Arabidopsis thaliana: one gene and its partners. The protein of the gene in region 1 purifies or fractionates together with the protein of each later gene. This does not show direct contact. Each region holds a gene or a part of one and is shown in the gene's direction. Other genes may lie near its edges. The genes, in order: CDC6, AT4G28230 and AT2G31920.

The links.
Region 2: the proteins of CDC6 (region 1) and AT4G28230 purify together in Arabidopsis thaliana (affinity purification with mass spectrometry, with the first as the bait; one large-scale study listed by BioGRID). This does not show direct contact.
Region 3: the proteins of CDC6 (region 1) and AT2G31920 purify together in Arabidopsis thaliana (affinity purification with mass spectrometry, with the first as the bait; one large-scale study listed by BioGRID). This does not show direct contact.

The regions. Positions count from the first base shown.
Region 1 is NC_003071.7:12,685,097-12,696,728, forward strand, and holds CDC6 (cell division control 6), read left to right. Parts: upstream 1-4,484; 5' UTR 4,485-4,489; coding exon 4,490-4,729; intron 4,730-4,811; coding exon 4,812-4,896; intron 4,897-4,978; coding exon 4,979-5,199; intron 5,200-5,284; coding exon 5,285-5,359; intron 5,360-5,445; coding exon 5,446-5,555; intron 5,556-5,653; coding exon 5,654-5,913; intron 5,914-6,040; coding exon 6,041-6,114; intron 6,115-6,323; coding exon 6,324-6,374; intron 6,375-6,467; coding exon 6,468-6,517; intron 6,518-6,673; coding exon 6,674-6,755; intron 6,756-6,857; coding exon 6,858-6,947; intron 6,948-7,199; coding exon 7,200-7,262; intron 7,263-7,357; coding exon 7,358-7,453; intron 7,454-7,554; coding exon 7,555-7,644; intron 7,645-7,725; coding exon 7,726-7,758; 3' UTR 7,759-7,776; downstream 7,777-11,632. Other genes in the region: AT2G29679 (uncharacterized protein), read right to left, coding at 4,180-4,302; ASA2 (anthranilate synthase 2), read left to right, coding at 8,803-9,028, 9,103-9,296, 9,384-9,573, 9,661-9,812, 9,891-10,006, 10,100-10,346, 10,448-10,504, 10,601-10,753 and 3 more. UniProt on the Arabidopsis thaliana protein: May be involved in the initiation of DNA replication. May play a role in endoreduplication. Could act as one of the factors that contributes to maintain endoreduplication competence.
Region 2 is NC_003075.7:13,993,977-14,003,851, reverse strand, and holds AT4G28230 (uncharacterized protein), read left to right. Parts: upstream 1-6,544; 5' UTR 6,545-6,653; coding exon 6,654-7,862; 3' UTR 7,863-8,073; downstream 8,074-9,875. Other genes in the region: EXPB3 (expansin B3), read left to right, coding at 1,907-2,066, 2,163-2,463, 2,772-2,901, 3,203-3,406; AT4G28240 (Wound-responsive family protein), read left to right, coding at 5,613-5,873; NDB1 (NAD(P)H dehydrogenase B1), read right to left, coding at 8,201-8,288, 8,363-8,482, 8,567-8,688, 8,773-9,036, 9,129-9,453, 9,546-9,796, 9,873-9,875.
Region 3 is NC_003071.7:13,569,874-13,580,830, reverse strand, and holds AT2G31920 (elongation factor 1-delta, putative (DUF936)), read left to right. Parts: upstream 1-4,449; 5' UTR 4,450-4,463; coding exon 4,464-5,033; intron 5,034-5,432; coding exon 5,433-5,810; intron 5,811-5,878; coding exon 5,879-5,970; intron 5,971-6,060; coding exon 6,061-6,778; 3' UTR 6,779-6,811; downstream 6,812-10,957. Other genes in the region: AT2G31940 (oxidoreductase/transition metal ion-binding protein), read right to left, coding at 1-231; AT2G31930 (uncharacterized protein), read right to left, coding at 2,834-3,265; CHX21 (cation/H+ exchanger 21), read right to left, coding at 6,812-8,640, 8,736-9,192, 9,575-9,787.

The DNA.
Region 1 (11,632 bases):
AGAGTGAGGAGATGAGCTTTTATATACAGATGTCAAGGAAGGGTTTGTTGCGCACGAGTTTATGATCGAAAATATCGAAATTAATTAAATTAAATATATGACCGGGTTAAAGCCGGTTATACAGCGACGTAAAGAATCTGACAAACAAGTAAGCCGGTGACAAGAACCGACTCACATGATTAACCGGAGATGTCATTAGGATTTATTATTTTTACATCTGACGGTTTAAGATAGACCAAGTGTCTCCCAGACTATTGGGTTTTCTTTTGTCATTTTCTGACAACTAGTACTAGTGTATTGCGTACTGTATTTTGCCAATTTAAAATTTAAACCAATCAACGGTCTTGGAAAAGCCATGTAGATATTTTACTTGCTGTAAGATAATAATTTATTTTAAAATGGTTTAATTAGGAGTGTGAAAATAGTAACAGTTTTGCAAGAAGGTATGCTAAAAGAGTGGGTCCCGTAGTGTCCATGTAATCTGGCGTTAACTTTGATGTGTGGTAAGTGTTGCGATTTGCGTCTATGTTCATTTTGCCCTCTTTGGTATCAAAATTTTTACATCTTTTTCTTTTAAATTTTGTTTGTATAGAAAACGTAAATACGTCTGATCCAAAATCGACGGATTCGAAAAATCGTAAATCGTTCATGAAATGTGAGATCAAGTTTTGTAATGATGCAATGAAGGAAATAATTGCTTATAGAAAATTATGTTTTAGTTTTACCAAAGTAGTGATAGAAAATAATCTCCGTTCTAGGGAGATTTTGATTACACTGTTTCTCTATATGGTTATATAGTTGGGGTGACTATATAGTGGATCCTACTATTTTTTACTTGATTTGAGTAATTTATAAGATACCTTTTTCTGTGCATGTGCAATGATGATTGTAACAAATAACTACGACTTCGTAAATTATCGCATGCATGTATTTTTGAGATATATATCTAGTTTCGTAAGATTTGGAGCTGCCCCATTTAACAACTTATATTTTAAATTGAACAAATATCAAAACGTATTTAATAATTTCATAACCAACACACAATTCAAAACACCAAAACCGAACTAAACTGAAACAAAACAAAGAAAACCAAATTAACTGCAATTGAAATTTACAACAACAAAAAATGAACCAATTTACAATTTCGGTCTCAATTTGATAAATATGTATAAACGTGAGTTAAACAATGTAGACCATAATGGACGAGCTTATAAGTTCTAGTTCGGGAAAAATCAGCCGAAAAAACTGTAACCAAACCTAACCGAAAAATCGAAAGTTAAGAAGAATAACACAAGTGGTTTATATCTTGTTTTGTTTATAGGGTGGTTATATCTTGTTGAAACGTGCCAAATGGAGGGGGTAAAAAAACCGACGGTGGAGAAGGAGAGAAAGGTATGCACCAACTTGCCGTAATTTGACGTCGTTGAGACATTGACGTTAGAAGAAGGTGAAGAATTGACGGCTCTCGTTGGTATTCGGCTTATGTCCTTCTTAACGGTTGATATTTATTGTTCTTTCAACAATATTGGACTCTTCTCACCTTTCATTGATATTTATTTATTCCCTTAGTTTATTCAATTCCATTTTACAAAACGTACGGTGGAATCTGACCTTGTCCTAATTTCAGTTTTTTTTTTCCTTTTTATTATCGTCTATATTTGGACCATCGAGAATATTTCGTAATTAAAAACTTTAGGGTACACATGGATTTAAAACGAATTAGCTCGTCTCGTTACGAGTTTTATGAATATAGGATGTGAAATGTGTTTTGAAAGAAAGTTCTAGAGGAACATATACTGATTATAACCAGTCCCTCATAGAAACTAAGCTTAATCGAAATAGACATGAAATAGCAACTGAATTCAACGTTAATCATTATATCACCAGAAGAAGAATGGTAGATGTATATGAGAAAGAAAATAAGTACTGAGAGCAGTTGTAATTATTCTTGAATAGACATAACATATTGTAATCTCGACCAACTTAAGGTGTAATTTATATCTTATAAATCCTTGTTCTGTAACTCTATTTACCTTAGCTCTCCATAACTATATTATTTGGATGAATAAATCCCTGATAATTGGCTTCTTTTCTTTAAAAATATTCTAAATAATAAAATGCTTTCGAACAAAAGATTAAATATTATTGGAGAGTTCATAGAAATATTTTTCCATACCATTTTCTAAATGCATTATTATCAATGTTGGTGTGGACCATAGTCGGACGGTAGGCTAAGGGTGTGAGATCCGCTTAGTTCTATTAAAAAATTCTCGTATCCTCGGCATGGCCCGTCAATTTAAGTAAATATAAAATATGTAATATGAATACTTGAATTTAGCAAGAGATAAGATCATGTGGATTATTTGATTTGTTCGTTTGGGAAATGTACAATTCTAAAAGGTGAAAAAGTTAGTTATAGATTATGCAAGTGATGGAACTAATTGCTAATGGGCAGCGACAAGGAAGACTAGTATTAAGACAAATCATAAAACCAAACGCTAAATGTCCAAAAATGTATGGAGGGTTAATAAAAACAAAGAGAAAATGATAGAATAAATCATGTGATATATACTAAGGAGTAAGGGGGTTTGGTTTATGAAGATTGATATGATGGAGCTGGGCAATGAAACAAATGACGATATGATCGATGGGCATTACACAGTGAAAAACTTTTTGGCAGTGAATAATGTTAATTAAATATGATCATGACGATATCAAAATAAGATGTTAGATATATATATATATATATTCACATTTTTTAACAATAGAAGATCTCGATACGGAGGTGTTATATGTTATTTAACAATAGGAATGTGTTACTTTGTATACCAAGTTGTCTAGGGAGGTAAGCTGTTAAATTGACCATATTTTTTGTGTGAGGGTAAATATCAGTGAAACGCATCGTATATTGGTCATCCGATAAATATTGTTGTATTGCATGTCAGCCTTCTCAAGAATAATTTTGATTGGATATGTAGTGGTTAATTAGTTGGCGATTGAAATACCACCTAACCTCGATTTTGGGGTATTATGGAAAAAATGGCAAAAAGTAGAGTTTGAATTCTGACAATGAGAAGAAGAACGTTCGCAAAGCTCAAAATGTTTGTTGAGAATGTGTATAATCAAAATGTTTCATTGTTTTATATTTATTTTTGCCAAGGTTCATTTGCTTAGGTCTTATGTTGTAACACCTATCTTTCATCTAATGATATTTACTCTCTTAGCAGCAAAAAAAGAGAGTAGAATTTGGATTCCGACAATGAGAAGAAGAACGTTCGCAAAGCTCAAATATTGAATGCAATTTAATTTATATAAGGTAAATAATTTGGTTGATTAATATGCAACTCTTATGTACTTTATATAACACAACAAAATATAAAAATCAAATTAACATATATAGGAACTAAATTCTTACATAGTTATGACTCTTGAAAGGAGGATATAGCCAATACGAAAATCAAAAGGAGAGAGACATTACAAAGGCCACCACTCTTATTATCTCTTATCTTCTTTCCACCTAGTATTTATCAAAAAAATCCTTCATTTTATATTCGTAGATATCTAGTCTACGCATGCATTGATTTTTTTGGATACATGCACATCATATAATAAATCATCGTCAATTCATGTGGATATCCTTCTTCTATATCAATGCATTGATTTTTTTTGGCAACAAATCGTATGATATATGATCAATGTATGTGGATATCCTTCTTCTATATCAATGCATTGATATTTTGGCTACACATCATATGATATATCATCGATTTATGTGGATACCCTTCTTCCATAAAACCTTTTATGAACCAGATATACATGAAAAATATCTCCACGTCGTCTTTATATGTTGATATGATGATATCTCATACTTCAATGATTATATATATGAGGAAATAAATAAATATAAGTGCATTGACAGTTTGACACATAGATCACCTAGCTTTCTTATCTTATATTCTGATTCTTTTTTGTCATTATATGTAATTTCTGATCTATCAAGTAGTTAAGAGTGAATAAACTATATACAGTTGCTTCATATTTTTTTATACTATATGTATATAATGAGAAAAGCTATTATAGGTTAAGATACGTTTACTATTGTTGTGCACGTAATTAACTATTATCACTTTTTTTCCCCCGCCAGAGATGGTAATGTGGTAAATGGTCATATATGGGCCGTTAAAGGGCTTTAATAGGCGTTAAATTGTTCAAACCATAATGCGGCCCAATAAAATTGCCGCGAAGCCGATGGTTTAAAACGGTAGCCGAAGAAAACCGGGCGGCGAAAAAATTCTGTTCCATTGCTATTTCCCGCTACTTCCATTTTTCCCTCTTTGTTTACTTTTTTTTTTTTTTTCATTTATTTTTCTTATCTCATTTTCCTCTTAAAAACCATGAGATTGATTCTTCACTTCGATTCCATTGGATCTCAATCTCAACATCGATCTCGATCTCCCGCCTTTTTTCTGCCTCCTTCTGATAACCTACAATGCCTGCAATCGCCGGACCTAGTTCTTCCCCTCAGAAACATGTCGTCGGTTCTAGATCGGAGAGTATCGGAGGTGTTAGATCCGCCGAAGTCAACACTTCTCGGAAACGGAAGTTGATATCCGATTCGGCTGCGGAGGTTTCAGCGACGGTGGTGTTGCCTGTGAATTCGATATCTACACCGATGAAATGGAAATCGCCTCGTCGATGTGCTGTTTCAATCCCTAAGACCTCTGATGAGGTAAGCTCCTTGTTCTTAGTTTAATTGTTTGGTTTAGTTTATTCGAGTGAGAGAATCAATTTGATTGTAGTTCTGATTGCAGGAGATTAAGGAAGATTCTAATGAAAAATTGGAAAATCCAGTGATATCTGTTTGTTTAGAGGTTAAATCAAAGTGGAACCCTAAAGGTATGTATATATGATGAGCTTTTTGATTCTCATGCTCTTAGTTAGTTTGATTGTATGATTGATGTATCTTGAATGGATACAGATGATGAACAAATGAAAGCTGTGAAGGAGGCATTACATGTATCTAAGGCACCGTCAACTGTTGTTTGTCGTGAGGATGAGCAAAGACGGGTTTTCGAGTTTGTTAAAGGTTGTATGGAGCAGAAGAAGGCTGGTAGTTTGTATATATGTGGGTGTCCTGGAACTGGAAAGTCACTATCCATGGAGAAAGTAAGACTACAAGCTGAAGAATGGGCAAAGCAGGTAACCAATCTTTGTGCATGTTTCATAAATTGTGATTAGTTTGAATCTTTCAATAGAAGGATTGATCTTTCATGAATTCTTACAGGCAGGTTTGCATTGTCCTGAAACAGTGTCTGTTAATTGCACATCACTGACAAAAAGTACAGATATTTTCTCCAAGGTAAGACCTTATCCAGTCGAAAATTACTCGAAGTTATTGGTCTCATCATTTCAGTATAGTTGTTAATTGAGTTATTTTGTTTTTAGATACTTGGTAACTATGAGTCCGGGAAGAAAGCTAATGGTTCATTTTCACCTCTACAACAACTTCAGAGATTGTTTTCTCAAAAGCAACAACAATCCAGATCAAAGATGATGTAGGTTTTTCTTTTGTTTTTGGTCTTGTGATATGATGACCTGCTAGATAAGTAGATATAATTTGTTGCGCTGTTTCTCATTCAAACTTTATCTGCAGGCTAATAATTGCAGATGAAATGGATTACTTGATCACAAGAGACCGAGGTGTCCTTCATGAGCTTTTTATGCTCACAACTTTGCCATTGTCAAGGTGTATACTTATAGGTACTGTCTTTTGCGTTATTAATGTTCATTTTTTAAAATCTGTTTCCTATGGTCAAACAAGTTTTAAGTTTAAAGTTCGTATTTGTCCTCCAGGTGTAGCAAATGCAATAGACCTTGCAGATCGTTTCCTTCCAAAATTGAAGTCTCTTAATTGTAAGAATTTCTCCATCACTGTGTGGTGCCATTTGAACACTCTTCTTTCTTCACCATATGTACCTAAGCTTTGATGAAGATTAAAAGTTGAGTATACTTCTGTAACTTATACTTCCATCCAATGCAGGCAAACCTTTGGTTGTCACTTTCCGTGCCTATTCTAAAGATCAGATCCTTAGGATTCTGCAGGAGAGGCTTGTGGTAAGTCTTAAAAGATGCCTTTAATGAGAGAGGAATGGCTGATTAATGGTATTCAAGGAATTATGAAGAAAAAATGCATAGTAGATTAACATGTCAATAACAATTTTTGACCCATTTAAGGACCTTGAAACTATATGATGATATATCTAATCTAAACTTATGGTACTTCTATGTTGATCTTAAATTATTATTTTCACTATTTGTAACAGGCACTTCCATTTGTTGCATTTCAGTCCAATGCCTTGGAAATATGTGCAAGAGTAAGAAAATATATGTCATTTTTTTATTTCTCTCAACCTTGTTTTCATTTTGATATTCTTTAATTGATATTCATAATGTTTGCATTGTTCCAGAAAGTATCAGCTGCATCAGGAGACATGAGAAAGGCTCTATGTGTCTGCAGGTGAAATCTCTTACGAATTTCGTTTCCTTTGAGTTTGTTCTTGTATTGCATATGATGAATGAGATAGAAATGGGCTTTATACTGTAAATTCACTCTTAAAATCATTACATTAAAGATGACAATCTCAGTTAACTCACATTTTTTTTCAATTTCCAGGAGCGCTCTAGAAATCTTAGAAATAGAAGTTAGAGGATCAATAGATCAAGAACCAAAAGGTCCAGTTCCAGAGTGTCAAGTGGTTAGTATTTTACTCTCTACTTTACTCAGTTCACTTACTGACGATGCAAATATCCATAGAAACCGTTGTCTTATCCCATAATTGTTTTTATCGAATCTATAGGTCAAGATGGATCATATGATAGCTGCATTGTCCAAGACGTTTAAATCTCCAATAGTTGACACCATCCAGTCTCTACCTCAACACCAACAAGTAAGTTACACATCAAAACACACACACTTATTGATATCTGGTTCTTCTCGTTTTTAACTATTAAGTAACTGTTAGGATATGCTTACAACATGATCTTACCTAGAATTAGCAAAATCGTAGTATTAAGAGAACAAACTTGAAGTCACAAAGAAACTAAAGACCCGTGTTGGTTCTCTGACTTAGTGGCTAATAAGACCTACTCTGAAAGTATGTAATGGACTGAAATAACATGCTTCTATTGAAAACTTGCAGATCATAGTCTGTTCTGCTGCAAAGGCTTTTCGAGGGAGCAAAAAGGATAGAACCATTGCAGAGGTAAATCTTCATTGAATGAGCAATACACAAACACAACTCATGAATTTATAGACATTGTACATAATATTCATCTCTGTCTTCACACTTTGATGCAGTTAAATAAGCTATACTTGGAAATCTGTAAATCTTCGATGATAACTCCAGCTGGAATTACTGAGTTCAGTAATATGTGTACAGTGCTAAATGATCAGGTACTTATCTAATCCTATAAGATTAACTCTCATGTTTGTGTATGGTTTATGCATTATATAATAGACATTTGATTGAAATGTCATTGTTTTGTTTGGCACAGGGGATTCTAAAACTTAGTCTTGCTCGAGACGATAAACTAAAGAGAGTGAGCCTTAGAGTAGATGAAGCAGACATCACATTTGCTCTTAAGGTATATACATTACACTCTTTGTTTATTATTCCGAAAATGCAGTTTCTTAAGTTAACACCTTCTCTTTTCATTGCACCACAGGAGATTCGATTCTTCCGCAACTGTCTTCTATGATGAAGTTACTGAGTTATAGTCTTATAGATGGGTTGGTTCCTTCATTCTTTACAGAATACAAAGAGTTATATATATATAAAAAAATCAGTACACATAAATTGTTTATTCTGTCATGTAAATGCAGGAACATAAACAAAATATAATCTTTATTAGTTTTTACTGGTTAGCGCAAAAGCTGAACTCATATTATGTAATTCTTCTCTTTTTGTACTATTAGTCATGCTCTCAATGAAATTAATGCCATCAAGTGATTGTCCTTGACTCCTTGATTCCTGAGTGTTCGTCTGATGCATTGTGGCTATTAATTCCGTTCAAAATCTTGGAGGTCTCAGCTTTAGTCTAAGGCATTTTACAGCCACTATGCGCCGTGGTTCACAAAAGCCCTCATATACTGAAGACTCTTTTCCATTTGCCATATTCTTATTCATTATAATATAAACAATCTATTAATCTTTTTACCAACTTTGTCATGAACGAATTCACCCCAACGGAAAGTTAGAAGTGTTTAAAACATCTCCAAGGTGCTCTGGTGCACCATTGGTTAAAATAACATGTGCATCAAGTATATTACAACTTTTTGTTGATTTGCTATGATTGAAAATGTTTTTCTTCGTATTTTTTAATTTTAAAATCTCTATGAAATTATTAAAATATCCATGAAATTATTAAAATCTATAGCTTAAATTTCAAAATCATGGATTAAATATTTTAAATTATTGATTGAATAGCACATAATTTCAACTTGGAAATTGAAAATTACCAAAAATTCTGATTAAATTTTAAAATTAACACAGATCATGAATCCAGCAAACCCCTAAGGAATAAATGTTGGTTATAAAACTATGCTTGACTGTTTTTTGGCAATAAAATCCAGATATGCTTTCGTTTGCGGTCCCATTCGGTCCGATCGCCGGTCCGGTTTAGAAAACATTGCTTTATGGGCTTTGTATTTGTAGTACTGTAGTGTATATATTCTTCTCCCAGTCCACACTTAAAAAGGTTTAAACTGGTATCGAAAGACTTAAAATCAACGAGCTCACGGGGATGTCGGCCGTTTCAATCTCCGCCGTCAAATCTGATTTTTTCACCGTCGAAGCCATAGCCGTTACACACCATCGGACGCCGCATCCACCACATTTCCCTTCGCTCCGGTTTCCACTATCGCTCAAGTCCCCGCCGGCTACTTCTCTTAACCTTGTGGCTGGATCAAAACTCCTCCACTTCTCGCGTCGTCTTCCTTCTATCAAATGCTCATATACTCCGTCGTTAGGTAAAAATCTGATCTCCCCCATTATTAGCGCCTCTCAATTTCGATCGAAGTTGAACTTCTTCTTCTCCTCACAGATTTATCGGAGGAACAGTTCACAAAATTTAAAAAAGCATCGGAAAAGGGAAACTTAGTTCCTCTATTCCGATGTGTATTCTCGGATCATTTGACTCCGATACTTGCTTACCGATGTTTGGTGAAAGAAGATGATAGAGATGCTCCTAGCTTCTTGTTCGAGTCTGTGGAGCCTGGTTCGCAATCGTCCAACATCGTAAGCCTTCCTTTTTGATGATTGTTCTCAGTGTTTGCATTTTGTTTGGTTCAATGAAATTGAACTCTTGGAGGATTTTTCTCTTAGGGTAGGTATAGTGTAGTTGGAGCTCAGCCTACAATAGAAATCGTTGCAAAGGGAAATGTAGTTACTGTGATGGACCATGGAGCTAGTCTTAGGACAGAGGAGGAAGTGGATGATCCAATGATGGTTCCTCAGAAAATCATGGAGGAATGGAATCCACAAGGCATTGATGAATTGCCTGAAGCTTTCTGCGGTGAGTGGAGAAATCTGTTTTTAAATAGAGTGATGTTTGTTTTAGCATTGCTGATTTGTTTGGATGGTTGATTTGATTTGTAACCAGGTGGTTGGGTTGGATACTTTTCATATGACACTGTACGTTATGTTGAGAAGAAGAAGCTGCCTTTTTCTAATGCTCCAGAGGATGATAGGAGTCTTCCTGATGTTAATTTGGGTCTTTATGATGATGTGATCGTGTTTGATCATGTTGAGAAGGTATACTAGTATTTGCATCTTCCTGCGGATTATGAATTGAAGAGTTTATCTAGTTTTTCTTGATCCTGTTGAGCACAGAAAGCATATGTGATCCACTGGGTGCGGATAGATAAGGATCGTTCTGTTGAAGAAAATTTCCGTGAAGGAATGAATCGGTTGGAATCTCTAACCTCTAGAATTCAAGACCAAAAACCGTGAGTAGATTCGTTTTACCAGTCTTTAGATTGTAATTTTTGTCTTTTATTTGTAAATTCTGTTTATGCTCATGTGTTTCCTTTGAATTGCAGCCCCAAGATGCCTACTGGTTTCATAAAACTACGCACTCAGCTCTTCGGTCCGAAATTGGAGAAATCAACTATGACGAGTGAGGCATACAAGGAGGCAGTGGTGGAAGCCAAAGAACATATCTTGGCTGGGGACATCTTTCAGATAGTTCTTAGTCAGAGATTTGAAAGGCGGACATTTGCGGACCCATTTGAGATATATAGAGCTCTTAGGATTGTAAATCCAAGTCCCTACATGGCCTATTTGCAGGTATACTCTTTTGGTCCTTGTTTCCTTACATCTTTTCTGAAAATAATATTACTAATCTGTGGACTCTCTCTTTTATTTTCTTGTATGTGTTTAATTTACAGGTTAGAGGATGCATATTAGTTGCATCAAGTCCAGAGATATTGTTACGTTCAAAAAATGTAAGTGTTACCTACTCTCTCCTCTTAATCTTTGGTTCCCTTAATCTATGAACTTCGTTTCATGAATGGCTCAATGTGTGTTTCTTTCTACTACAGAGGAAAATTACCAATCGCCCCCTTGCTGGAACTGTCAGAAGAGGGAAGACACCCAAAGAAGATCTAATGCTGGAAAAAGAGCTCTTAAGCGATGAAAAACAATGCGCAGAACATATTATGCTTGTTGATTTGGGAAGGAACGATGTTGGCAAGGTTCATCACTTTACCACTGCTTTCACTTTCAGTCTCTTACCCTCTTCTTTTAGAAGCTAAGATGCAGTTCTTACTCGGTAGTCTAACTTGTTGGATATTCTTGTAAACTCAGGTTTCAAAGCCTGGTTCTGTGGAGGTCAAGAAGCTCAAGGATATAGAATGGTTTTCACATGTCATGCACATTAGCTCCACGGTATGCTCCTATTGCAATTTTACAAACAAACAAACTTTTAATTCGAAAGTCCTTTGTTTTCAGTTTATAAGAGATCATAGTTGGATAATGAAATTTTTGAATAGAAGTGGTGTTGAAGCCTAGTTCTCTCTAGACTACAGAACCCATGAATATGTGACTTCACATGTTATGTACATGAGCTTAACAATATGCTGTCCAATTTCTGTTTGTCTCACTACACATTTCCATCTTCGCAGGTAGTAGGTGAATTGCTCGATCATCTAACAAGCTGGGACGCTCTTAGAGCTGTACTTCCCGTTGGAACCGTGAGCGGAGCCCCAAAGGTTCTCTCTCACTAAAACAACAAACATTACACATTCACCATACTCAAAAATCATTTGTTACAGGTAAAAGCCATGGAGCTGATAGATGAACTTGAAGTAACAAGGCGTGGTCCTTACAGTGGAGGCTTTGGAGGCATTTCGTTTAATGGAGACATGGACATTGCCTTAGCTCTCAGAACAATGGTCTTCCCAACAAATACCCGTTATGACACATTGTACTCATACAAGCATCCTCAGAGACGTAGAGAATGGATTGCTCATATTCAAGCTGGAGCTGGGATTGTTGCAGACAGTAACCCTGATGATGAACATAGAGAGTGTGAGAACAAAGCAGCGGCTTTAGCCCGAGCCATCGATCTTGCT
Region 2 (9,875 bases), on another chromosome or scaffold:
GTTGCTTGCTGTGAGAATATTGGTTCAAGTCCATCTGGTTTAGTATTCGTTTCTGGTTTAAAGAGCTAACCGAGTGGAGCTAAAACTACTAAACTAGGTTACAATTTGGGCTGAAATAGATTGTTAGGCCCAAACAGAGAAGAGCCCAGGTGAGAAATTTTAACGGCTTGTAACAGACCACAACGAGAAATGAAGCAGAGTATTGTCTTCATTTCAAGTTTCAACCTTCGTTTTGATTCTTACTATAATATCTATGACAAGAAATCTGTCTCTTAGTAAGCTCAAGGAAATACTCATTATGAAGAGACAGGAGTATAGGATCAATCCTGATAATGGTGAAGCTCATCAACGATTTGTTACCTCTTTAATAACTATGTGAAACTAAGTTCTACTACATGATTTCGTTTATTATTTTGAAATCAAAGACTAACGCAAAATGTTGAATTGTATAAAGTCAATATCTGGTGTAAATTGGAAGAAGGGTAGAGAGGGTTTGGTGGGATCAAGAATGATCTGATTCTGATGTGAACAAGATAAGATTCGAATGTTTTTAAAACCCACCTAATTAATTAGCATTCATTTATTTCATGTGAATCAGCTGTGTCATTCTCTATGGAGTATACATTTTGACTTTAACACCACTCTTTCACATTCTATTATCGTCTAATTATACAACGTATACGGAACAATGAAAATCTACCAAAATGACGAATCGTTTCTGCAATTTTTTGTAGTATCCAATGATTGAATTTTTTTTATAAGATGACGATGAATGTGAAATCTTGAAGTGAAAAATTTGCAAGCACTATTAATTTGGGTGCATACACCAAACAAATCAGTCATGTCTATTTATATATTTTTGTCACTACTCTTTAAATACCACTATGTCCCTCTATATAATCATCTATAATAAAACCGTAATTGACGCTAGAAAAATCTCTTTTATTTTAATTCTTTTTCCATGGCTTTAAGAAAGCAACGTTAAAGAAAAGTAGGGTTGTATAATACAAAGTAGAAAGTAGTAGTCATGTGCATTGTGATAAAACAATCAAATCGTGGATCCACTTTTATTAATTAGATTCGAGCCTGAGTGACCAATAGTTACTATCTCTTGCCCCACCAAAGTTAGTAATAACAAAAATATAAACCTAATTTGTCATTAGAAAGCTCTAGGTGGTTGTTCGTTACATCATACAAACCAGCGCAAAAACCGTTAACATTATCATATCTATGTATTTTTTAGAACGAAATGATTGATGCGTTGTGCACACGAGATTGGTCACTAAGATTTCGTTTGCGTAACATATCCACTCCTCTCTATTCATAGACTATACTCTATACATACTGATAACATACAAACAGTTATATTGAAATGCATTTAAAGTATTTGTTCTCTTATCTATAAGAAAACAAACTAACTTGATATCAATAAATGAAAAAACATATATCGTGAAGAAATCTGTATCGGAAAAAAAAAACAGAAATTAAAGGATTGAGTCAGGTATCTCTTAACGGATTCCTCTTCTCTACCACAGAATCTGCGGGAAATTTCAACGGTCGAATCTCATAAATTACTAAAGTACCCTTTTAGGTCCCTCTGACAATGACACGCTGGATCGTGCGAAATCGACGCCTTAACTGTCGGTGGGTCCTAATTTCTAGTGGCATTTCACCGTAAATAAGACCAATGGCAAAGGGACTAAACCGGCAAATAGAACTTTAGAAAACAAAAAGAGAAACCACAGAAAGCAGTTTGCTTCTACCTTTTATTTTTGTCTATATAACAACAACAACATTGACATATCAATTCACACATAAACTCACTCTCACTCTCTCACTGTCGGCAAACTAACTTATTCACTTTTCCGGCACTGATTCTGCTCGGGAAAAACAACTCCGGCACAAAATGCAGCTTTTTCCAGTCATGTTAGCCACACTCTGCATTGTCCTGCAGCTTCTCATTGGCTCGTCAGCTTTGGCTACGACAAATCGCCACGTGTCAAACTCTCATTGGCTTCCCGCAGTAGCTACATGGTACGGAAGCCCCAACGGTGACGGCAGCGACGGTAATTATAAGTCTATAACACATAATTAACCACACTTCACAGTCTAGTGATTCCTAGTTAAACACTAACATTAACTTATATACCGCAATTGTGTAGGAGGAGCGTGTGGTTACGGTACGTTGGTGGATGTGAAGCCGTTACATGCGAGGGTTGGAGCGGTGAATCCAATTCTCTTCAAAAATGGTGAAGGTTGCGGAGCTTGTTACAAGGTTCGATGCTTGGACAAGAGCATTTGTTCCCGGAGAGCCGTTACCGTCATAATTACCGATGAGTGTCCCGGCTGCTCTAAAACCAGCACTCACTTTGACCTCAGTGGTGCCGTCTTTGGCCGGTTAGCTATTGCCGGAGAGTCAGGGCCTCTCCGTAACCGTGGACTAATCCCAGTCATTTATCGCCGGTACGTATATTAATATTATTCTCATTATTCTTGTCATTTATTAATGTTTATGCTCTTTCAATAACTAACTCGTGACAGTGCACGAGCATATAGAAAAATAGGAATTATTTAGGTAAGAGGCTAAAACAGAGTTAATATAATTATTAGATTTATTGGAATGGGTGTGAATGTATTAAACAAAAGAGGTAACTTTAACGGCGATCTCGTTTTGTATGGTCCCAACCATTTCTTGACCATTGACCATTTGATCTCTTTTTTCTCACTGATATAATTTTACCTTCTTTCTTTCTTTTGCATAATAAAAAAAGGACTGCATGCAAATATAGAGGGAAGAACATAGCATTCCATGTGAACGAAGGATCAACTGATTTTTGGCTATCTCTGCTGGTCGAGTTTGAAGATGGAGAAGGAGACATTGGCTCCATGCACATTCGCCAAGTAACTCTCTTTTTATCTTTAATAACCAAACTCGTGCACGCACTTCTTTAATTTCCCTTTTTTCGTACCACAAAGTCACTTCCACTTCAAAAGTCTTCTTTTTATTTTATTTTACTGCACTAAATAAGAAAAAGGAGGAAACGAATCTCAGTGGAGTGAGCACATGTATGGATCTTTTATTGACCAGCTAGCTAAAAAGGCACACCACATCACTCAAAGTCTTCTAAAAAGTAACAATAAAAACAGACTCAAAGTGTAAAGACTGATGGGCTTTCTTGTGTTTTGTGAATGTTTGGTGCAGGCAGGAGCCAGGGAATGGTTAGAGATGAAGCATGTATGGGGAGCCAACTGGTGCATCATTGGAGGGCCACTCAAGGGACCATTCTCCATCAAGCTCACCACTTTGTCTGCCGGTAAAACACTCTCTGCCACCGACGTTGTCCCTAGAAACTGGGCTCCCAAAGCAACTTACAGTTCCCGCCTCAACTTCTCCCCTGTCCTTTGAACCATCTCTTCTACATAGTCAAAGACTATTATAGTTCTATTACTACTACTACTCGTGTGATCGTTTTTTTTTAGAGAGAAACAGAGTGACTGCTGGCCGTAGGATGGAAACAGTAAGAAAAGTACATCCGAATCAACGGCTATTGCGTTCTCTCCTCTTCCTTCTTGTGATGTGGATTTGTGTGTGTGTGATGTGTCGGTGAGTGTGTTATAGAAGTCACTATAGCCATCTTCAAAGGGGAGATAGAGCTAGGAGTAGTATTTGGTGGTGTCACGTCGTTTGTTTTTTCTATATAATTTTTGTCACTATGTCTTTCTATTATGGGACATGGCATAATATATCATATGAATAATTTATCACTATGTCTTTCTATTGTGGGACATTACATAATAATGTATGATATGAATATTATGTACACTACTTCAGAGAGAGCATTGGTATTCTACCAGAACCTTCAGAGTATCTCTTCTTGTTTCGTCTCCTCAAAACCCAAGAAATATAAAATATACTACGAACTAATACGAAGCTTCAGGTTCCACTTCAGGTTCCACTTCTGTTTCAGAAACTGCATCTTTTGGGGTTTGTTCCCAACTGATATTGGCTCCTAAACATTTGTCCTTCATGTATTTTTCATCTTTAGTATATATCCTCTTTCCTGATTTTGTTGGTTTTGGATGGAGGAAGTGGTATCACATATCACATATGTTGTAGGATTCGTCTTCAGAAACTCTGACACATTCTTGATAGATTTCTCTGTTTTCCCATCTCTGAAGGTTGTTTGTCTGCAACTTTTACCACTATGTTTTTCTCAATGTTGGGAACCTCACATGGGATCAGCTGTGCTTGTCAACTTATTTTTGGAATTTCTCTTGGACCAAGTAAAGCTGCAAGAGACACCAAATCCACTCAAGTCTAGTCATACAGAGAATCACCTGGAAAAAAAAGCAAGTGAAGTCAAAGGAATGTGATTCCGCGTAGCTATGATCTGATCAACATGCATTTTCTTTTCTCAAGGTGCAATGGCGTTTTAACTTGACCATCAAACATTGAGATATACAGTCTATACAAGTTAATAGTCATGGTTATTATAGTATTATCTGACGGATTCAAATTTGACATATAAGAATCGGGGAAAAGAAAATGTAGAACTGGTTATAGCCAAATGCAAGAAGATATGTGATGCAATAAGATAGTTTGACATGAGCATAAATGTGATAGACATATGCTTAGATTAGTAGAAGAAGCAGACAGGGCTTATCTAGTATAAGTGGGATAAGCATAATATGTGAACGGCCCACATCCTCACAAAGCCAAGTCCAACTATCACAAGATTCACTCATTCCACTAATAAACGTTTTCAAATTAGAATGACAGAAGAATATGATAGTTAAAACTACTCATTAATATATTGGTGATAAAATAAAATAAAATAAAATAAAATTAAACTACTCACATATAATTGGTTGGATTAGTCATTAAAGATAGCACTTAGCAAATCAAAGTAAAAACAAATACTCACTACTAATAATAAATTAACCGGAAGCAAAGGGACAAGAAGTATTGATGGACAGTAATATCACGTGAAGGGGCACGTGATGACCCAATAATCGGTTAACACGTAACCAATCCCCTCGTGGGACTCTATCCTAGTCTCTAGGCACCACCCCACCCCTCACATAAAACCATCGTTCCATTTTGGTTTTAGGCCGACCTATCGGTTTTTCATTTTCGTATAAAACAAAACAAAACAAAACAAATTTACATTCAACAAAAAAAAAAAAAAAAAAAAACCAAATTACAAAAATAATTAAGAATGGGGCCCACATGAAGGGGTCGATAATTGAAGCAAGGGTGACTCATCTTGAGGATAGGACCCTCTAAGCTCGCCACTTGTTTCCTCATTACTCAGCACTTTCAATTTCCCCCGAGATATTTCACGATAACTTAACCATATCGTACCGTATCGCTTTCCTATACCTGGATCCCACTAATCCATTGTGCACGGTATCGCTTATTTTAGATCTTTTTGAATTTACCTATTTACCCTCACCCCAATATCCCTCTGGCTATAAGTACCAACCTCATCTCTTCATTTCCTTCCTACAAAAATCGAACTAATCTTCCTTTTTAACAAAAGCTTCTCAAATCTTTCAAAGGTTTCCAATTTACGAAGAAAGGATCTACAACATATAATCACTATTAAAGAATGAGTTATCTGAACAAAGTGTGGATGGCAGCATCGTTCGTAGCTGTTCAAGGAAACGCCGATCACGGCGTCAAGTTAAAAAGCGGTCTCACCTCTGCTCACCGTCTCCAACGAAGACTTTCCTCCGATCTCCGTCCTCTCGCCGCCGCAGATCTAACCGGCGACTCTCTCCCTTCGGAAGAAAGACGTCGTACCTCTTCTTCCACTCCCGATGAGTCTCTCCGACAAGTCATGTACCTCAACTGCTGGGCTCAAGGCTAAATTCAGATAATGATGGTCGTGGCTCGCTCATGAACTCCGCTGAATCAGAATTTTTTTCTGATGCAAACTGTATATAGTTTGGTTCATCTGTGGTGGTTGACTCGTGCTTATGAAATCGCTTGAGTCGGATTTTCTGGATGCAACTGTATAGTTTGGTTACATCTCTGTGAATATTAGAATGTTCTAAAAGATCAAAGCAAGCCTTGGATTATGAGAGAACTCTGTTCATTTTCTATATCTTAAAACATCGTTCGCTCACCAACTTTATTACAATCTGGAATCTTGATTGCGATTACCACTAATTTCAACTTTATCCACAGTAAAATACGATTCTAAATTAAACAATAGTACTAAAATATTCCAAAACCATCGTTATCCAAAGAGACAGACAAGTCAGTCACTCCATAATGCTTTTATTTATTTATCTATTGTGGTTGTCATTATTGAGGTAGGTCCTATAATTCATCTTACGAGCAAACTGAAATGTTATATTCGTCGGGCCAATTGTGCGAGGAACAAGAGGCCCACAACGAGATCAGCTCTTGGGCTATTTGGCCCATTTATGTAACTTGGCTTTGAATGAAATCGGAGCGTGGCTGCTTAATCCAACGGTCCAAATCTGACGACGCTCCTTAATGGAGTAATGAGTAACGTCTCCTTCATTTCCAACGGTCAAATAATCCTCAAGAAATACTCGCTTCTTCCTTCTTCCTCCTCAAGTGTCCAATTCTTTCTCCAAACCCTAAATTTCTCGTAGAAGAAGATCAAATCGCTCTGAATATGACATCAATTGAGGCAACAGAAACGCTTAACGCTCCTCCAAAGCTTCAGATCTGGAACAACGCTGCCTTCGACGATGGAGATTCTCAAATCACTTCCGCCATCGAAGCTTCTTCTTGGTCTCACCTCAACGAATCATTCGATTCCGATTGTAGCAAGGAGAATCAGTTTCCGATTTCGGTTTCCTCTTCGCTCCAATCCTCAGTCTCGATCACCGAAGCTCCGTCAGCAAAATCCAAGACCGTGAAGACCAAATCCGCCGCAGATCGGAGTAAAAAGCGAGATATCGATGCAGAGATCGAAGAAGTAGAGAAGGAGATCGGACGATTATCGACGAAATTGGAGTCGCTCCGATTAGAGAAGGCGGAGCAAACCGCAAGAAGCATTGCTATACGTGGAAGAATCGTTCCGGCGAAGTTCATGGAATCATCTCAGAAACAAGTGAAATTCGACGATTCGTGTTTTACAGGATCGAAATCAAGAGCCACTCGTAGAGGCGTTAGTCTTGGACCAGCGGAGATATTCAATTCCGCGAAGAAATCTGAAACTGTGACTCCTCTTCAATCAGCTCAGAATCGACGCAAGTCTTGTTTCTTTAAGCTTCCTGGAATCGAAGAAGGTCAAGTGACGACACGAGGTAAAGGAAGAACGAGTTTGAGTCTGAGTCCGAGATCTCGCAAAGCGAAAATGACGGCAGCTCAGAAGCAAGCAGCTACGACGGTGGGGTCAAAGAGAGCTGTGAAGAAAGAAGAAGGAGTTCTCTTAACAATCCAGCCTAAGAGGCTATTCAAAGAAGATGAAAAGAATGTTTCTTTAAGGAAACCATTGAAACCAGGAAGAGTTGTGGCTAGTAGGTACAGTCAAATGGGTAAAACGCAGACTGGAGAGAAAGATGTTAGGAAAAGGTCGTTGCCTGAGGATGAAGAGAAAGAGAATCATAAGAGGTCGGAGAAGAGAAGAGCTTCTGATGAAAGTAACAAGAGTGAAGGGAGAGTGAAGAAGAGATGGGAGATTCCAAGTGAAGTTGATCTGTATAGCAGTGGTGAGAACGGTGACGAGTCTCCTATAGTTAAGGAGCTACCTAAGATCAGAACGCTTCGTCGTGTGGGAGGGAGCCCTCGTGATTCAGGTGCTGCTAAGAGAGTTGCAGAATTACAAGCCAAGGATCGTAACTTCACTTTTTGCCAGCTTCTGAAGTTTGAAGAATGAATGATCCGCTTATCAATTTGAGTAAAATCCACAACTCTTGTTGTGGTTACTTGATTGTGAATTTGTTTGGTTTTGATTTTGTTTTTCGGCTCGCAGAGCAAGAATCTTTGTTGGAATGCTTAATGTCTTTTCTAAATACACATTAAGATTGTGAGTTTTTGTTATCTTTTGTAAATGTCAGCTTCATGAAGAAAGATTCTTTCAAAAGGTTTTTGCTTTGCCACTCACAAACAAGAAGTTTGGCCACAGCTTTGTGAAATTTACACCAAAAACAAACGAAAAAGAGAGAGACTGTATCTTGGTTTCCTCTTAAACACATTACAAAATGCAGTATTGAGTCAGATGCGGCTTGAATCCCTCCCGAATATGTACCTCCTTGTCCAGTCCGACACCACCAGAGCCCTCGTTCGCCAGCTAACTTGCTTGCTGCATCATTCATGTTTCATGTTTCAAATTCTGTGCATTTACTATAATGAATAAAAGAGTTTCTCAGCGTTTACCTGGCATAAACAGAATACCAGAGCCACTGGGCGCTTTTTCCAGCTGAAACCCAGTCTCCAGGTAGTTCAGCTGCTGCTTGGTCCCCTCCTAGTGGAGCAAATTGTCCAAAGTGCTTGTACCTGTAATCAAGCGAAGAGCTTTCATCTCTATATCTTGGAAGTTTATGAGGATGCAAGGTCCTGAGTTCATTAGATTAGGCATACTGGAAGGGGCGAAACTGATGATGCCCGCCAGTTCTGAAGCGCTTAGGACCTTCAGGTAGCTCTTTACACTGCTCCATCCTGTTGAAGCATTTTGCAAGATAAGCACCTTGCTGGGCAGCGACCTATGCAAACAAACAAGCAGACCATTGACCCTGACATCCTAGATAAAACCCACGATTCTACGCATAGGTGAATTCACCAAGTACCTGAGCAGTTGCAGGCAGGGTTTTCATCTGTGAATCAGCCTCCGAGAGAGCCAATTTGAATGCCTCAATGTCTACTTCTTTCCTTGCATTTCCTTCAGAATCTGCCAGCAGATCGTTAATATGCCTCATATGCTTGCTTTTCAGGTAGAGCTCCACCTGCGGATACCTCACAATAATATCATCAACCACGCCTTCTAACTCTTCCATGGTCAAGGTTCCTGAGTTGTCCGCATCTGCAGCTTTGAATATGTTTGCAATATCCCCCTAAATTAAGATTCACAAGAATCTATCAAGATTTAGCATGCATATGAAAAAAAGAAGGGAATAGCATCAACAGTCTAATGGGGTTCACAGACCAAGATTTTTCGTTGAGCTATGGAAGCACAATCGCCAACTGCATATACATTCTCACATCCTGTCACTTGTAACCACTCGTTAGTTGCCACCGCACGTCTGCCTCCTTGGCCAACTTGCTCCATGAAGTCGCTGATAACTGGACGGGTTCCAACTCCAGTGGACCACAATATCAATCCATGAGGAATACTTACGAGTTCTCCACTTGATTTGACTTTCACTGTGATATCTTTATCAGTCACAGACATTACACGCATTCCAGTCTGAACATCAATACCATCTCGCGTGAACTTTTGTTCAGCAAATGAACTGATACGTTCATCAAACCTGCAACAACCAGTCAACCACTTGTCAAACTCCACAATCAAGCCTGGCATGAAGAAATGATGAAGAAGTCTATAGTACTGTTGATTACTTACGTATTCAGAATATGGTCTCCAGATTGAATGAGTGTTATTTTTACGAGCTCTTTGACTGAAGGGTATATTTTGGTGATATCCTCTATAATAAAGTCATGTAGCTCAGCTGCAAACTCCACACCAGTAGGACCTCCTCCCACGATTACAAAATGAAGCTTTCTTCTTCTTTGTTCCTCAGTGAGGCCAGGAAGGATTGCTTTTTCAAAGCAATCAATCACTCCTCTACGAATCCTCTGTGCATCCTCTACTTCCTGCAGTATTTTTGAAGAAAGGAATTATGAAATTGGGAGAATTATAATCTTCACAAGTTGAAACCATGAAAGTTACCTT
Region 3 (10,957 bases), 890 kb from region 1:
GATCAAAGACGTCATCATCCCTCCGACTCCTTGATCATCGGATAGAAAATGAACGGCTAAGAGCAAAAGCAGAGGAGAAGCCATGAGAGCAAGCTTGAACTGATACGTAAAACCTTCTATAACTGGTTCGTAGCTGGCGTACCATGAGATTGTTACGAACATTAAGAGGATCAAGACGAAGACGCAGAGATGTAAGGGAACTGGAGGGCTTCCTTCTTGATCTCTTCCCATTATAGATTCTTGATTGTTGTTTAATTGTTTTCTATTGAGAGTTTTCTTTAGATGTGAGATTTTTTTTTTGTAGAGACTTCTTGATGTTTGAGAATTGAGATTGATGAAGAAGTTGGAGGATGAGGTGGGTTTTATAAAGAGAAATTAATTAACAATTAATGTTTAATTTGCTTCGGAATTCGGATTCTACAAAAATGTAATTAAATACGTTCTTTTGTATTCAGTAATAGAAATTTAATTTTATACAATGGATAACGTAATATATTATTTAAATTTACAGATAGGTTTATGAATCAAACTGGATTAAGCGAGTGTTAAATGAACTAACGGAATTAATCAAAATAACAATGAGAATATGAGATCTAAATTTATTATATATATATATAACTATAAATGTAATCTGACGTATGTTTATTTATTGATATGATATGATGATATGAGCAACAAATTTTTGTATATATATTGAAATACAGTTTGATATAATGAAATATTAAGTTATAATTTTGGTACATAATTGGGATCAAAACTGGACAAAAATTGGGATCAAAACTGGACAAAATTTAAGCTTAAAATTTCTTAAAACATTTGTTAAAACATTTATTTTTTGTCTTAAAAGTTATAATTGCAGAAATCTACTTTTAAGCAGAAAAAAAAAAATTACTTGGCGTATATTTTGTGAAGTATAATAATGTTTGGTAGCCGAAATAAAGTAAAAGAAAAAGAGCTGACTGGACACTTTAGTTAAAGATTCTTGCTTTTCGACGGTGCCACAAGGTTACTTAACATGGTCGGTGAGGCCATGCATGATGCATCTCCAATTTAATTGGTAAAAAAGATACCCAATGATAATATGCCACGTACTACCGACCCTTTCCTTACATCTGAGGTCACCTGATACGTTCTCATTTTATTTTATTTTATTTAACCAACAAAAGTCTATGATAATATAAGAAAAATAAATAAATTAGCTACGTTGTTATTTGTGAACAAAAAAAAACTACGTTGTTATGCGTACCCGCCTAGTAGTCGGTACGATACGACAATAAAAACTCGATAAGCCGGAAAATATGTTGTGAAAGCCCTAGGGAAATAAAGAGCAGGAAAATTTTGAACGACAAAGATTTTAGGCTATAGTTATTGACATATTGTAAGAGCAACAAACAATATCGTCAAATATAGTTTCATGATGTCAACTTGTTACGTATTGTCTTTTTTTTTTTGTTTAAAAAAAAACAAAAAAACTTGTTAACTATTGAATTTGAGAAGTTTTGTACATTTCGTAAACTACATGATTATAAAAAAACAAAAAAAAACAACATCCATATATTTTTAATTTAGACAAACTAACTGAATCTAACAACGAAGAATTCAAATTTGATACTATATATGTTTTTCGAGGATCAAAAACTGTCTTTAATTATGTTAATTATTCATGTGACTTCTTGAGTATTTACTCGTTTTTTAGTATATGATAAATCATATGGATGAACTACATAGAGTGTTAAAGTTATTTATTACAATGATATTTTGATATTATTATATGTTATCTTCTTAGGAAATGAATTTAAAGCATCACTAATTTGGAGGTTATATATATAGCTATAAAATCGCCACGCTTCTGCATATTTTATATTATGTAATTTGGATTGAAACTAAGCAATGTTGATTAAATTAGAAAGAAATTGTATTGTATTACGTATAAAGTAAAACAAACCCTTAACATTAAAACCAAAAAAAAAAAAAGTATAACAAAAATAATATTTGATTGACTGAGAAGATTACTTACCTATAAACTATTTTAAACATTTGGCAATTAGTTAACCCCGTAACTATTGTAATGGCAGAAAATGAGGATAGGTCTTAGTCAGACATCGTCAGTTAAATTGTTCATCTATGTCACGATGTGTCATCTGATATATATGAAAAATACAAAAACTCACAACTCACAATCCGAGCCACAACACTTAAATTTGTTTCATTCTTCGTGTTTTATTTTTCTTTAAGATTTTTTTTTTTATTGGGTTATAATATCGCGAATATTAATTGGAAAACAGAAGTAAAACAATTATCCAAAAACAAAAATGGTTGTATTTAAGAACATATTTTATGTTTTAAAACATTATCTTTGGTTTCTCTTTATGTTTTGCCTTTTCTTTATAAAAAACACTTCAAATTGTTAGAGCTACAAAAATATCAAAAGTTATATATTACAATTATGTATAAACCTAAAGTTCACCTAATCGTAACTAGTTGGCAAAGAACGACTACAGTTTAGACCGTTAAACCAAAAAAGATCAACCGTAACACCCTAAGATCTGACGACGAAAAGACTTTAACAGATTTGTTTTTTTGGCAAAAGCTCAAAACACAAAGCAAAACTCATGTAGTGAGATTCTTAACAAAAAAAACAAGAGTTGCATGTATATAGTGCTAATTACAATCTCAAGTCAAAACCAATATGCCAACAACAAACGTGCACATCAATAATACGTACGTACGCAAAACATTCCAAAAAACTGCCTAGTCTACAGCTTATCTCTAATAACTAATCGTATAATATATATATATGTGATCACGTATATGAAACGTACGTATATAGGATTCAAGTTTTAAACCGAAAGACCGGCGATTTGTGGTCACGTTTGGCCTTTATCAAACCGCTCCAGACCTTAACATATCGACCCACCATACCTTTGAATTTCAAACCACCTTGCTTCTCTTTCTTCACCACCAATTGCATCGTCGGCTTGATCCCCTCGCCATCCTCGAAATGTTGATCTAGAGAGCTCTTGTTGTTAACATCAGCTTCTCCATTCAATTTCTCATCGCATCTCATCAGATTGTTCAAACTCTTACGATCAATCTCTTTGTCTTCGATTTGCTCTTGTTCTTTGTCTGGTTTTGGTTGTGAGCTTTGGGTGCATATTGCATGGTGATGCATATCGTTGATGAGACTAGACCATGGTTTTCGAGTTCTTTTCGACATGCTTAGATCAAACCGTGGCTTGGTCGGGTTTACTACTTCACTTCCCATGGTTATTAATCATACAAAAGAGAATCTATACTCTTTCTTTCTTTTTCAAAGGAGAAAACTATATAGAGGAATTAGGAGTAGCTATATGTCCATTTTCACTTTTGAATTGATAACGTAAGAGGTCGGTGACTGTGAGTGTTTGGACTACTCGTTACTTAATTAATAAATAAAGAAATGATTACAATCGTGACTCAGATGTCTATTTTGTAACTAATCTTAATTTATCTTGATACTTTGGGTTACTTGTAGCATACAATAAATTGAAACCACAACGGACCAAATTTCTAGGCTTGGGTTGATAATCCATACGTTTAAAACCGAAATTGTGAGAATAGTGTGGATTTATCTAGCTCGTGTCGAAAATTCAATATAGCTCATTCACTTAGATTGTGTCTGTAACTTTTGTAGCTCGAGCAGAAAAGAAATAGGATCCTAAGATTGATACAAACCCATCTCAGTCGCCAAGCTAGGGAAATGTTAAGATCCGAAACTTCTTATCATGTACTTTTCTTGTAATAAAAAAAAGTGGAAAAAGAGATACCGGATAACAAAGGTACAAACAAAGCAAGTTCACAAAATTTGGAAGGTTGGTTGGAGTGCGACCTGATGGGCGAGTTGGAGTGTCAACACTCAACACAAACACAGGTAAGTAAATGATTGGACACTTCACTTAAGTTTTCTATTCCAAGCATCTCCCCCATAAATTTGACAAGGTATTAATCATCAAACAGGCCTTGCATGAAAATATTCTTACAATTATTTTTTCTCTATAGAGTAATTTTAGTTGGACTTGGCCCATCACAATACACGCTTAAATGTGTGTAAAAGGCTTTATGATGTTAGGATTAGATAGGTTTATGATGACAAAAGAAATCTTCATCCTAATCGCATGCATAGTATGTTGTAGGTAGTGTACATCAAATATTGCTAAAAAGTCTCACTTGCAAATCACAATCGGATATTACAAAAGAGACAAAAAGGCTCGTGCTTTACACCTGCAACCAACAAAAGCTTTTTACTTGCAGCCCTTACCAAATCTCGAAGACAGAGAGACAAAACTGTTTACTTTTCCCGACACAGTAAACGACGAACTCTCCACATTCCCCGAGACACCTCTCTCTCTCTCTCTCTTTGAGATTCCTTCCCACTCTTCTTCTTCTTCCTTCTCCCAAAAGATGCTTCAGCTTCTTTTCCCACCATGGCTTCCCTCACTCCTGGAGTTCTCTCCAACCTTCTCAATATCGCCGCCGGAAACTCACCTTCTTCGCCGCCATTGTTGTCTTCTCATCGTTCACCACTCCTCCAAGTCATAGAAATCGTTCCTTGTCTCTCTGACGACCAATGGCGTAGCGAAGCATTCTTCGTCAAAGTCTCTGACTCTCTCCACGCAGCTTACGTCGCCGTTTCCACCGGTGATGACGCTGATCTGATACGTTCCGATGAAATTCAGCTAGGACAATTCATTTACATATGCGGTGGTTTACACGTCGAGAAAGGATGTCCTGTTCCTGTAATCCGTGGTTTGAAACCAGTCCCTAAGCGGAGGATGTGTGTTGGAAACCCTAGCGATCTTTATTCTAGCGATTTGCTGCTTCCTTTTACTCAGGTCTCTGTTTCTCCGACGACGACGAAGAAAAAGAATCTTGTTGAAACAAGGAGATTGAGTTTGGATTCCGCGAGAAGGAGTTGTTGGGATCAAACTCCTCCGGTGACTCGTCGTCGTGACGCTGCATTGCTTCTTTCTTCACCACGTCTTAAATCTAAATTGGTACACCTTTCATCTTTTTTTTTTTTTTTTTTTTTTTTTCTGTGAATCGCTCTGTTTTAGTGGTTTGTAGGGATTCTTGTCCTTTAAGTTGCCTACAATGGTATGAGATTGATATATGTGACATGTGAGAAACCAACAATACTACTAGACTAGTTTTCGTAGACCTTGAATGTTGCTCTGTGAGTCACTCTGTTTGATTCTTTTTGTTGCATTTGGTTGGATTGTGGAAGCTGTTGTTTTGAGTGGTGTAGGGTTTCTTGTTCTTTAAGTTGCTAAAATAGTTTGTTTCAGGAAGACCTTAAAAGTTGTTTCTTATAGATAGTACAGCAATTTGATATTGGTTTCACAGTTCATACACTTGAAGTCCTTGGCTTTCACAGATTTGTGATGTTTTTGCAGGTCTTGAATGATAAGAGTCTGCTAAAGATTGAGTCCCCATCAAAGTACTTTAACTGTGGAACCTCTCCTGCCTTAAGGAACAAGAATGTGGTTAAGCCTGGATCACCTATATCCATGGCTAGTTCTCCGAAAGATGGTATCAAGTCACCTATATCAAAGCACCTTAACTGCGAAACCCCTGCTTTAAGAAGCAGATATGTGGTCAAGCCTGCATCACCTATATCCGTGACTAGGTCTCCTAAAGATGGTATCAAGTCCTTGTCAAAGGCAGTGACTCCTCCGGTTGCGCTTTTTAAGGTGCCTTCAAGTCACATGACTTGGTCTGATCAAAGAATGTCATGGAGTGGACTCCCAAAAACCATTCAATTGCTCGGAAAGGTACGGTATTTGGATCAATCTACCGACTCTAAGAATTCGTAGTCATGTCTTTCAACCCCTCCTTTCAGGAAGTTTCATCACATAGGCAAGTAGCAGTTTCGGCAGCAGTAAGTGCACTGGAGGAAGCATCTGCCATGGAGTCTGTTCTATTTAGTTTGCAGTATGTCTTCTCTATTTCATCCCTAACCAGTTTCATTACACGAGTTTGCGAGTCCTTAATAATAGCATACATATGAATTTGTTCCTTCAGGGCCTTTGCCGAGCTGTGTGATTCTACTAAGAAGTTATCTACTGGACAAGTAGTGGCCCGGTTCTTGGACATCTACCACAATACACAGAATACATGCAAAGCGGTCCATCGGTTGCTTACTCAAAATCGAAACAACGGCTCGTGTAGATTAGTAGTAAATAAAAATGCAACATCTTGGGTTCAAGCTGCGGTAGTGACTGGTTTTTCTCAGTTCAACTTATTTAAAGAGCCTGGAAAGAAAGGTGATGCTGCTGATCATCACTACATTGTTATGCAGAACTCATCCGAGAAACTGAACCCCAAGGAGACAACAAGTTCAAGAACCCCATCCTACAAAGGCGCGAAACCGCCTGCAACGAAACATTGTTCTGTTTCAGACCGAAGTAGCTTAGAAGGTAAAAGCAGTCTGAAGGATTCAACGAGTCTAGCGGATGAGCTAGTCCAAGTTTCCAGCCAATGGTTCTTGAAATATTTGGAGAATTCATTGAACAAAGGGTCTTTCTTGGTGAAGACGGAAGAAACAAATGGAAAAGAGTCTCTTCTCGTCCACCTTAAAGCTTTAAACCATTGGCTCGATGATCTGAACTTAAACAGAACAGAAACGAACGAGAAAGTCGAAGATTTAAGAAAGAAGCTGCAACGGTTTCTACTTGAGCATATTGAATCTGTCATTGGGGATACTTACAATATGAAAAGAAAGATTATAAATTCCATCTAAAGAATGTATACAATATGGGTTAAGAAAAAACAATCATCTGCGCATACTGTACTGATGTTCTACTTCATCATCCTCGTCTTCCATAAAAGGCGTAGCCTCATGATCGGTCTTGGCTTTACCTTGGACAGGTTCTTGATTGTTGTTTTCTGCGGTTTGTCTGTTAGCAGAAGAGTATTGTTGGACCACAAGAACCGAAGCTTGCATTGTGAAGTTTGATGAAATTAATGTATCGCCTATAATCCCTAAATCCGGAGTACTATTCCAATCTGTCAACCCTGAGGTCACAGGTGTTTCTACTTGATATCCTCTTCCCACAATGTAAAGATCGTAAGAATTGTTATCTTCCAGTTCTAAAATCGCTGTGATCGTTTCTTGGCCATTCTTAACCACTTTCTCTACATAAGTCACTGATGGATCATTCATAGTCTTGAAGTTAAACTCGTAGATGGACTCTTCATCGACATGTTTATCCTTCTCGTACTCGTCCGCGGCTTCCCCGGCTGAGACTAAAGCTTCCTGGCTTGGGACGAATCTAACGACCGTGAGTTGAACCATTTCTTGTCCCACCATCCTCCAAGCGTAAGCCAAAGCCTCTCTGTCGTCTCGACCTCCTAGGAATAGCATGGCGATTTCTTTCTTTGTGGTTTCGCCTTGGAACATAAAAGATTCAAACCGGACAGTCGTCATGCCACGGTCAACCAAAATCCCAACCGAACAAGGCGCGTGGCTCATAACGTTTTGGTTGATTTCAGCGTGCACTGCGTTACCTTCATTTAACCGACCGTCTGACGTCATATTCTTGTGGTAAGGCAATAAAATGAAGCAGGCTTGTTTATCCTCGGCCAACAAACAAATATCTTCGTCCATCGTTGCGTAAGGTGAAACCGCGGTAATGGTCTGAACCATTACCCCGTCGTTGTTCACTTCGAGAGCTGTGAACATCTCAGCGATCTGGTCAGATTCCGCTCTAACTCGGTCAGCAAAGTTAGCTTTCGGTTTGGCCTCATCGTTCATAATGAGCAACGAAGCCGTGGTGCGACCCGTTAGCTCGACTAGGTGGATAGCAAAAACGTTAAGAGGAGATTTCTTGGTCGGGTTAGAGAGTTGTAATAGATTGGTTATGCCAGAGACGTTAGGGAGGACATGGACGCATGTCAATACACAAAGCTCTGACTCTCCTTTGTGTTTTTGAATGGTTCGGTTTTTATAGAAAATCAACTTCTTCTTTGGTTTGTAAGCAATGGCTAATAGTGGCTGCACCACCATTGACATCACTAGAAACGCCAACGTCAGATGAGTGTACATAATAACGTCCAATGCCTTGGTGTCTCGTCCAGCATTGAGAATGACTAGTGCCATTGTTCCCTTGGTATTCATAAGTGCACCAATGGCTAAACCATCACGCAAAGGTATACGCAAGAAAATGGAGCAAAACATCGTTGACAAAATCTTCACCATAACCGACGCAGAAGTCACAACCGCCATCATTCCAACGCTCACGGTCCTGTTCATGTAACCAATATCAGCTCTTAAACCGCAGATGATGTAGAAAAGAGGCATTAGCATTCCCGAGAGGAAATCGTGGAGCTTCTCTTCGATCATTTTTCGAATGATGTGGTCATGAGGGATCGATAGACCGAACAAGAATGCTCCGGTAATTGAGTGAACCCCACATACTTCGGTGATTAAGCTGCAAATAATGACTCCAGCGAGAGTGTACCATACGTGAGTGTCTCCCACTTGACCTCCTTCGACGGTGTTGTTGAAGATCCAAGCCACTCCAGGTTGGATCACAAAGTAGCAGAGAAGGACAAAAGCTATGGTTGATGCTAATGAGTATGGCAACATTTCGTTGCGTACACCTAACAAATTAAATATGGTTTTCGTTAGTACTATAATTCAGTAACTATGCGTGTGTGAGGAAAAATAACACAAGGGAACAACCATATTTAGTTACCAGATTTGGAAAAAATCGCCATTCCAAAAATGAAGAGAATCCAAGTGCACAAATCAGTAACAACGGCTGCACACATTGCAGTATGTCCCATATCCGTACGCAAGAGCTTGAGATCCGCAAGAATCCTAGCAAGATCAGGGAAATTTGTACAGCCAAATGCGATCGACCAGTACATACAACCTGCTAGGATTTTGTCGGCCTCTCCGTTACTGGGAAGGTAGTATAAGCCAGCACCGGCAAGTAAAGCCGCAAGGAGGCCAACAATGGCTATGATCACTGGTTTGATGTCTTTGATCTTTATCATCCTCAAGTCCAAGCCGAGACCGAGGAGGAAAACGTTGTAAACGAGAGCTAAGTTTGCGAATGTCTCAAGAAGCATTGTATATTTATAAGGGAATATAAGTTTAAGGACCACTTCGTTATTGCCGAGCACAGTCGGGCTGAACAGTAATCCGCACTGTAAACAAAATAATCATTACAATTATTATAGGATCATATTATAAATTATGTACGAGATTAATTTGAAAAAGATCCAATAATATAAATCGTATGTTGCAAGTGGACAAATCTTAAATTTTTTATCATTTTGGTTTTATCTTAAAATCACCGTTTTCGAAAAAAAAAAGAAGCAAAAAGCTGAACTTTCGTTAGAACAATGAAGTTAATTGTTAGCAAAAATTTAATCAAGAATTTGAAGATGAAGACTCTTTAGGACATAGCTAACAAAGAAAAAAAAGGAAACATAGGTTTGCAATAGTTGTGGGTAATAAGTAATGAAAAAAAACAGTTTAAAGATTGATAATGGTTAGTTAAATATGTTTTCAAGATTGACTACTCACAAGTATTTGAGCGACGAAAGGAGGAAGACATAGAGGCTTAAGAAAATAGTAGAGTATGCGGTAGGTAAGATTAGCGACAGACAGTTGCGTCATAAAGAAAGGAGCTGCGGCTGAAATGGTGTTGCTTCCATGCATTGCCGTTTGGTTATAACATACGACTCTCCCAAACCGCGACGAACTTGCATCAATAGATTCAGCTGCGGGATCGGCCATTTATTGGGGGGATTTTCCTTAATAGATTTAAACGGGATTCTCTCAAAAAAAACCCAAGGTTTTGGCCTTTTCCCTTTCACAAAATCTTTGTGTTTCATCATCTGTTTTGTTTTATTGCATTAATAGGTGAGAGCTACACAATCTGTTTTTCCTTTTTTTTTTTTTTCTCTAATCTTCTTCTTTGTCATTGCTAATTATAGTTTTTTTTTATGTTTGATGTCAAATAGAAAAGTACTAGTAATTTAGCTGTCTTTGTATTCTCTTTTGCAAATGAAATTAGTCAATTTTGGTTGGTTTTCTTGTTTAGTCTGTTATAAAGGGATTATAAAATCCAATTACATGCTGTTTTCCTTGTTATCAAATAATAGTACTACATGATATCAGTGTTTTTTGGATAGATGAGTTAATATCTCCCTTAGTGATACAATGATATATTTTTATTTCATTTAAGGAAAAAGGCTAAAACACAGGGTTGCACATGTAATCATGATGTTCTTGGATCAAGAAATTAGACAGATAATGATGCAGGTTTGAATATTTAAAGATTACTTAACAAAACTAAAATAAAAACTTTCGACCATAAATAAAAAAAGAGAGGGAAAAGAAAGCCAAACCTAGCTGGAAAAGTTAATCCAAATGGTCCAGTCTCAGAAACCGGCCTTAACCGCCACCGGAGATTCTCCACCGGCCATTACCTTCACACACCCCAGAAAATAAATAAATGGAAAAATATGTAACTTTCTATAAGATTTGACAAAGTCTACACTTTTAAGGTGATGACTTCAAGTTTAAGCACCACACATTGGTGAAAGGCCTTTTGGCTCTGCAGTAAGAGATGGAAACAAACGTAAAGGGCACTATTGTCTTTTAATGAAAAAGAGGAAAGAAGTTCACTTTCACAGCGAAACAGTACCTGGCCATGGCCGATCAAGAGAAAAGTTGGTGCAGTAGCAATATCAAAATGTAAAGCAGACAACTTTATTGTTCTAAAAGCAGAGATTTCACATTTTGTTCAACGTACGAGGACCCCATTCATACTCAAAAGGAAGCATCATAAAGCTTTGAAAAGGAGAAACATATGAAGAGTGTGACCTTACACCAAACAGTTTTCTATGGAATGCATGGTTTTCAAAGCAAATGACCTAAGAGAGAATATCTGAAAGAAGTTGA